Mus musculus: one gene and its partner. The protein of the gene in region 1 interacts with the protein of each later gene in a pairwise test. Links are inferred from orthologs where the notes say so. Each region holds a gene or a part of one and is shown in the gene's direction. Other genes may lie near its edges.

What was found.
Region 2: the proteins of Tpm3 (region 1) and Lca5l interact in binary tests that used the Homo sapiens proteins (3 or more experiments, as listed by UniProt). The two-hybrid records come from large-scale screens. The link is inferred for Mus musculus from reciprocal best matches to the Homo sapiens genes TPM3 and LCA5L.

The regions. Positions count from the first base shown.
Region 1 is NC_000069.6:90,071,734-90,075,460, forward strand, and holds the start of Tpm3 (tropomyosin alpha-3 chain), read left to right. Parts: upstream 1-917; 5' UTR 918-1,000; coding exon 1,001-1,117; intron 1,118-1,986; coding exon 1,987-2,112; intron 2,113-3,727. UniProt on the Homo sapiens protein: Binds to actin filaments in muscle and non-muscle cells. Plays a central role, in association with the troponin complex, in the calcium dependent regulation of vertebrate striated muscle contraction.
Region 2 is NC_000082.6:96,190,007-96,193,756, reverse strand, and holds the start of Lca5l (lebercilin-like protein), read left to right. Parts: upstream 1-1,499; 5' UTR 1,500-1,569; intron 1,570-3,750.

The DNA.
Region 1 (3,727 bases):
ACAGTGTCCACTCCTCTGGCATAGATGGGTATATGGCAACTGTGTATGGGATCAATTGCCACCTGTCAATAGCAAGATTCCAAGTGGAATTATGAGCATAGCTGGCACTACACTGGGGGAAGTAGAGCTGGTGGACACTATAATGGCATGGTGGACAGCGGGCTGGGGAGGGGGCCACAGAGGGAGCAGTTGAAGAGGAGTAGAGGAAAGCGACAGTCTTCAGTATGTCAGACCTTCTATTTTAAGGTCGCTATGAGAAAACGTGATCCTGTTCTGTGACCTCCTTGTTTCTCATCCCACTTGACACCCTGAGATACCCTTTCAGATCCCAGGCCTTCAACTTTATCCTATGGCCTTTACAGACTAATGTCTCCTTGCCTATTAGAGAATCCCAAAATAGCCCAGCAATCCCAACTGTCAATCTGGGGGAATTGTCAACGATCATGAGTGACCTCCCATCGTCACTGTTGACCACGCTCCTTAGATACCAGGAATCCAAAGACCAAACCAGTAGAGTTTGGTCCATATCCAATATAGTCCAAGGGGAGAATGAGAGATCTGAAGGCTACTAGGACCCCTCTGGTGGCGAGAACTGCTAAAGTACCCTTCTGTGCTTCAGTGTTCCCCCCTCTTCTGTTCCTCTACTTTTGAGGGACCCACAGAGCTGCCAAGAACGAGTGGAAAGTTTCAAGGTCAGGGAGAACCTCCCCCACCCCCACTTTCCATTGTCTAAAATCAGCCTCAGCTGTTCCTCAATTTTTTTTTTCTTGCTGGTGATGTCAGTCTATCAATGTGTCTGACCCTGTGTTCCCCCAGGGGAACAGTGAAGGGATGGGAGGGAGCTAGAAAGACCATGTTAGGAAGAAGAGGTGGAGCCGCAAGCACAGATAAAGGTTCAAACCTGGGGAACTTTGAGTGACCCGGGTGGCAGCCCTTCCTCTCTGGCCCCAGCCTCCAGTTCTCCAGTGTTCACAGGTGAGCCCACCAACGGTCACAGCTCATGATGGAGGCCATCAAGAAAAAGATGCAGATGCTGAAGTTAGACAAAGAGAATGTTCTGGACCGAGCTGAGCAAGCTGAAGCTGAGCAGAAACAGGCAGAAGAAAGAAGCAAGCAGGTAGGTGCTGGTATGGACCTTTCCCACTTGCTGGTTGCAAGACAGAGATGGTCCAGGCAATGGTGGCACACACCCCTGTAATCCCAGCACTCAGGAGGCTGAGTTTCAAGGCAGCCAGAGGGGCAGGGGGTTCATGGGAGAGGCAGTGACCACTGGGCCAGCTTCTTTTTTGGGTGGGAGGAATGCCCCAGTCTCAATGAAGCCCCTCCCCCTGAACATCTAGGGCAGCAGTTCTCAACCTGAGAGTTGAGACCCCTTTGGGTCATTAACCCTTTCACAGGGGTTGCCTAAGACCATCAGAAAACACAGATACTTACATTATGATTTAAACAGTAGCAAAATTAACAGTTATGAAATAGCAATGAAAATAATTTTATGCGTGGGGGTCTCCACCACATGAGGAACTGTATGAAAAGGTCTCAGCACTAGAAAGGCTGAGCACCATTGCTTTAGGGTAGCCCCTTTGCACTGTCATGTGACCTTGAGAAAGCCGGTGGCCTCTTCCTAGCCACAGTGTGCCTGCAGGACTTAAGTAGAAGTAGACCACATTTTGAAGAATGTCTTACTTCTAAAGCAAAGGGTAAGGAATGATCCAACTCTCTCTGTCTCTCTGTCTCTCTCTGTAACATCACAGAAATAAGCTTCCCCACTAGATGTTTATCATTCAACAGTCTTGCATTAAAGCACCAGATGACTTGGTCACCTTGGGGCCAGACATTATAGGGTCTGAGGTGAAGCCATAGCCTGATGCCTGGAGCATGGCTGAAGAAGTGTGTCTCTCCTGGGGCTGGGCTCAGTGCTCTTTGGAGTCCAAGTATACACTGTTGTGTTTATGTCTTTGTGTGTTACTCTCTGGGCTCTGGCTCCAGCTAGAGGATGAACTAGCAACCATGCAGAAGAAGCTGAAAGGGACAGAGGATGAGCTGGACAAGTATTCGGAAGCTTTAAAGGATGCTCAGGAGAAGCTGGAGCTAGCAGAGAAGAAGGCAGCCGACGTGAGTATTGGGGGATGGCTTATTTGCCTTCTTACCCATAGACTGTGGGGACATATGCCAACATAATACTCTTGCACATGACAATGCGCTGGCATGCTCTTCTGTTGGGGTATACTTTCTTACTCAAAGACATGTTGAGATTGAGGGCATAGTTCAGTGGCAGCATGCTTTCCTAACGTGCATGGATCCCTGGGTTCTACACTAGCACACATGCACGAGAGAGAGAGAGAGAGAGAGAGAGAGAGAGAGAGAGAGATCTCATTTCTGCACTATTCAACCTCCTTCGCAGTAATCTAATGACCTTTTCCAGAACCTGGACAAAGGAGGGGCCTCCACATCCAGATGCATGCTCTCAGGTATCCACTCCCCCACCCCCCCATGCCACATTCTTAGCTTTTGTGTACAAGGTTTGGCATGTGCATGTGTGTATTAATAGGGAGCCTCTCATCTCTCAGTTACCCAAGAAAGCCAGCTTAGATTTCACAATAGAAAATGGAGGTCACACTGACCTTGGCCCTATATGGGTTTATTTGTCCTAGCCAAGGTGGACATCTGCCTTTATGCCATAGAGATGCTACAGAGAACTCTGATCATAGGAGAGCAGTGACGTATCAAGGGTGAACTATAACAGAAACTGGGAAGCAGGCTAAGGCAGTACCCCTAGATCTTACTCTACAGCCCTGAATAAATTACATAGTTCTTAAGAGCCTTTTCCCCTCTTAAAACGAAAATGAATTGCCTCTGCCCACCTCCTACTACAGTTTGGTACCCACTTTCCTTCATTTCCAACACTGACGTTTGCTGCAAAGAGAAACACAAGACTATATAGGACATCTGCTTTGAAGAAAAGTACCACAGGATGGTTTATTTTTTATTTGGGGTGCTGGGGATTAAATTCAGCCCTCCAACCAGCTACATTTACCTAGCCCATAGGGGTTTTAACAAAAACAACAAAAGGATATGTCAGTTACACAGGCATATCATACACAGTTCTCAGCATCCAGGTGAGGAGAAAACTAGAAGCTGATGTTATTTTAAATCATGTTTGGTTTTGGAAAACAGCTTAAAGGACAGAGTGGATCACTCCCGACGGACGCATTTAGATGCTCACGTTCAGTCTTTGCTGGGAGGCATCTGCTCTTCTCTTTCTTTCTTTTTTTTTTTTTTTCTAATATATTTTCTAGATGTATTTATTTGCTGGGCAGTGGTGGCGCACGCCTTTAATCCTAGCACTTGGTAGGCAGAAGCAGGCGGATTTCTGAGTTTGAGGCTAGCCTGGTCTACAGAGTGAGTTCCAGGACAGCCAGGGCTACACAGAGAAACACTGTTTCAAAAAAAAACAACAAAAAAAAAACCAAAAAACAGCCGGGCGTGGTGGCGCACACCTTTAATCCCAGCACTTGGGAGGCAGAGGCAGGCAGATTTCTGAGTTCGAGGCCAGCCTGGTCTACAAAGTGAGCTCCAGGACAGCCAGGGCTATACAGAGAAACCCTGTCTTGAAAACAAACAAACAAACAAACAAACAAAACAAAAAACAAAAAAAAAACCAAAACCAAAACAAAACAAAACAAGATTAATTTACTATATATAACTATTTATTATTACTAATATTTAG
Region 2 (3,750 bases), on another chromosome or scaffold:
AAAAAAACATAGTACTTAAGAGAGTTAATAGAAATCTGTCTCTGTATACTCTAAAAACAAAAGATAACTTATGGTAGGGTTTACCTTTAATCCCAGCACTCAGGAGACAGAGACAGGCTGATTTCTATGAGTTCAAGGCTAGCTTGGTCTATGTATGGAGTGAGACACTGACTGTAAAAAATATAGAAAAGTATTCAGCAACCTGAAGGAACTATTTATAACATATATCACAGGGTTTTGATACATCAAAAGTTCTTCCAAATCAAGTTTTACAAAGATTTATACCAAGTTTAAAAGTGAGCTAAAAGGCCAGGCTCACCCTGGTAGACCAAGCCACGTGAGAGGCTGGGGTAAGCGGATCACTTAACCCCTTAAATTAGAAGCCAGCATGGACCATGTGGTGGAAATTAAAAATCAAAATCCTAAGGTACTGGGTTCCACCTCTAGTGCTGCCAAAACAAAAGGTAAGCGGGGAAGAGAAATTACAAAATAAGAGAAATGGACCCAGGAAACTGAAATCCCACAGAAGAAAGCCACACCGGTGTTAGAGATCCTAAAATCTGATTAGCTTAGTAGATTACATAATTGTGGCTAAATGGAAAGTGACAGGTTTGAAGCCAAATTACCTTGGCCTATCTTTAGTCTCCTTAATGGACTGGCCACTGTATGGGCCCGTGATTGATATAACATTTACAGGACCGTCAGGTAAATTCTTTTGCAAGCACCGACAGACCCTCACTTCCACCCACCTGAAGCACTTGGGGCCTGTAGATTTTCCTGTTTTGCTGTAACCCGCTTGGTATCTGACGGCACAGCTTACATACTTTACAAGTAGCTTGATTTGTGACTTATTTGTTCTGCGACTATTAAAACTTTACAAAACGTTTACCACGTTGGAACATGATATTTGAGGTAAGATAAATCTGTGTTCCAGGCCACGGTCATTCATATTTAGTTCCAGGATAAACTCTTCCTGTGAGAGCCCTGGTTTTGGGAGGTTTGTTTGTTTGTTTGTTTGTTTGTTTTGCATGACACTAATAAAGCTATTATAGCTTCTTACCCTTCTTAGCAACAAAGAATTTACAATTAAAAATGCCAGTTTTAACAATCAAACTCAAAAATAACAGCTATAATTCTACCACCTGAGTGTCTTAGCCTGTTGTTGGCTTGGAAATACTGTACACCAAACACAGTTTTTGTGCTCGCATTTAGTTTTTGCAAGAAGCACCACCATGTATAAAACCAAGTTAACAGGGACACTCTGTCCCCAGTCCTCTCCCTTCCTGGCACTGCGGCAAAAAGCAGGGTCAGCTATAAATTCCTTCAGCCGCCTGGGTTCCAGCTTCTCTGCGATCTAGACCTCCCAGGCGCCCTTGGCCCAAGTACGCATGCGCGCAACTGGTGCCCCGCCCCGAACCCTGCCATTCCGCCGGCTTTTCCACAGTGCCAAGTACTACGCGTGCGCACACCCGAACTAGCCATCCCAGGAGGCCCCGCGTGGTTTCCATGGCGACGCCCGCGCTTCCTTAAGTCCAGGGTGGAGGCAGCTGCGGGAGCAGCGCGGAGCAGGTAACGGCCTTGGCGCCGCCGCCGCCCCCAGCAGTGGTGGTCTCATCAGCCCGCGTCCGCCTCCCCGGAGCCGCTGGACAGGCCCCTTCCGAGGCCCGGCGCCGCGGGTTCTCTCCGTCCGCTCTATCCTCCGACCTGGCCTTGCCTCGGCGGAGCTGGTAACGTAGCCCCCCGGCGCCTCCCTGCCCGGGAGCAGCGCACACCCATCCGGGAGGATGCGCCGCCGGTGGGATCGCTGATCAGTGTCCCCCTCCACCTCCAAAGTGCAGAGAGCGAGAACGGGTCCCAAGCCTCGGTGCTTCGGAACCCCGAAGCATTCGCTACCCGGCTGGTGCTTTTCCTTCCAACCCTGGCACGCCCCGCGGGGCGTCTGCATCCTTCTGAAACGCTTCACTTGTTTTCCACCCACAGCTCGGCTGTGGGGCTCTTTGTCAACCCACCTCACTATGAGTGCTTTAAGATTTTGTTGTTTTCTTGACAACAGTTAACTCGTTTCGGGCCAGCCTTTTTTGGCGGAGTGTGACACCGGACTTGTTTTCTGTCTGCACAAATCACATAGATGGAGTCATCCCGTTCCAAAGGCTCAATGCCCACGTAAATGCCGCTGAGCCCATAATGTGTATATCAGCCCCGGCCCTTCTCCGAACACCATACGGTGAACTCAGCAGCCTGACCCTGTCTACCAGATGCCTAAGGCGTTTTCCATGCCAGCTTGTCCAAGGTGTCTGATAACCCCGCAGCCAGGCTCCTCTAAGATGCATACATAATCCATCCAGTTGCTGAAAACTTCATTCTTCTTCCACTCATCCGCACTTTTGTATCTAGTTTGACTTTACCAGCACATCCTTACAAAATACACCCAGAATAGATTCAACGGTACCATTTCTCCCAAATGGCAGTCAGTGCCTGGATTATTCCAGAAATGCCTTGCATTTCCCTGATAATATCCTTTCTCTACTTGAGCATGGTCGGTTTTTACTAATAAGATTTTATGGCCGGGCAGTGGTGGCGCACGCCTTTATGAAAACTTTAGTAAGAAATAAACACTGGAAAAAATAGTCAGGGGAGCTAGAGATGATGACCTGTCAACTTCCTCTGAATTACAGTCTAATGCTTTACAGTCACTTAGTAGAGGCAGAAAGAAAGCAAACAGGCACAACTTGCCCCAGCCCCCAAGGCAAGACTTTGCAATATCCAGAGACTGGAAACTAAGTAATGTATGAAATTGATAAATGATCAAAACCCACAAAAGTAACTAACCATCCAAAGGTTGGGCTTGACTCTTTCATGTTGCAACTCTTAAAGGCGTGTGTGTGCGTGTGTGTGTGTGTGTGTGTGTGTGTCTGTCTGTCTGTCTGTCTGTCTGTGTATGTCTGTGTGTGTGTCTGCCTGTCTGTCTGACCAACTAACTCAGAAAAGAAAAATGTGTGTTTCACTGGTGCTTTTTTTTTTTAATCATTTTTGAGACAGCATCTCAATATATAATTCTGACTGGTCTGAAATTTTCTGTGTAGACAAGGCTGGCCCCAAGCCTGGAGACACCCCCACCCCCACACACCCACATCCACTTCCAGAGTGCTGGGATTAAAGGTGTTCTTCACTATGCCTAGCTCGCTTGTAAATTTTAGAGTTGGGCTTTAGAACTCGTTGAGAAATCATCTAATTTCTTGTTTTAGGCAGCTGAGGCCAAATAGCTGATTATATTGACAAAGCTGGAGTGTAAATCCAGATACCTTGCCAAAGTCTCACTTTTATTTTTCTTCTGCCTCTCAATCCATGTTAATTCTTTTCCTCTCTAAACAGTGTTTCACTGCGTAGCCCTGGCTGTCCTAGAAATCACTCTGTAGAGCAGACTAGCCTCAAATTCAGAGATCTGCCTGCCTCTGCCTTCAGAGTGCTGAGATTGCAGGCGTGGAATGCCCAGCCATCAGTGTTAATACTTAATTTCCCTTTGTCAGGATTTAGAGGGATCAAACTTTTGAATCAAAACTTTGGTAAGTATTAGACTGCTTTCTTTGAAATCCTGGGCTCTTGGCCCCTCACCTGTACAGTGCAGTGTGCATGAACCAAGGGAAGAACTTTACTGGCTGTGTGCTTTTTCCAGCAGATGCTCTGCCCTCTGCCTTACTTACTAAAGGGCTCTAAGAACTCTTTATAAATCTCCCTGTCTGTAGCATGCCA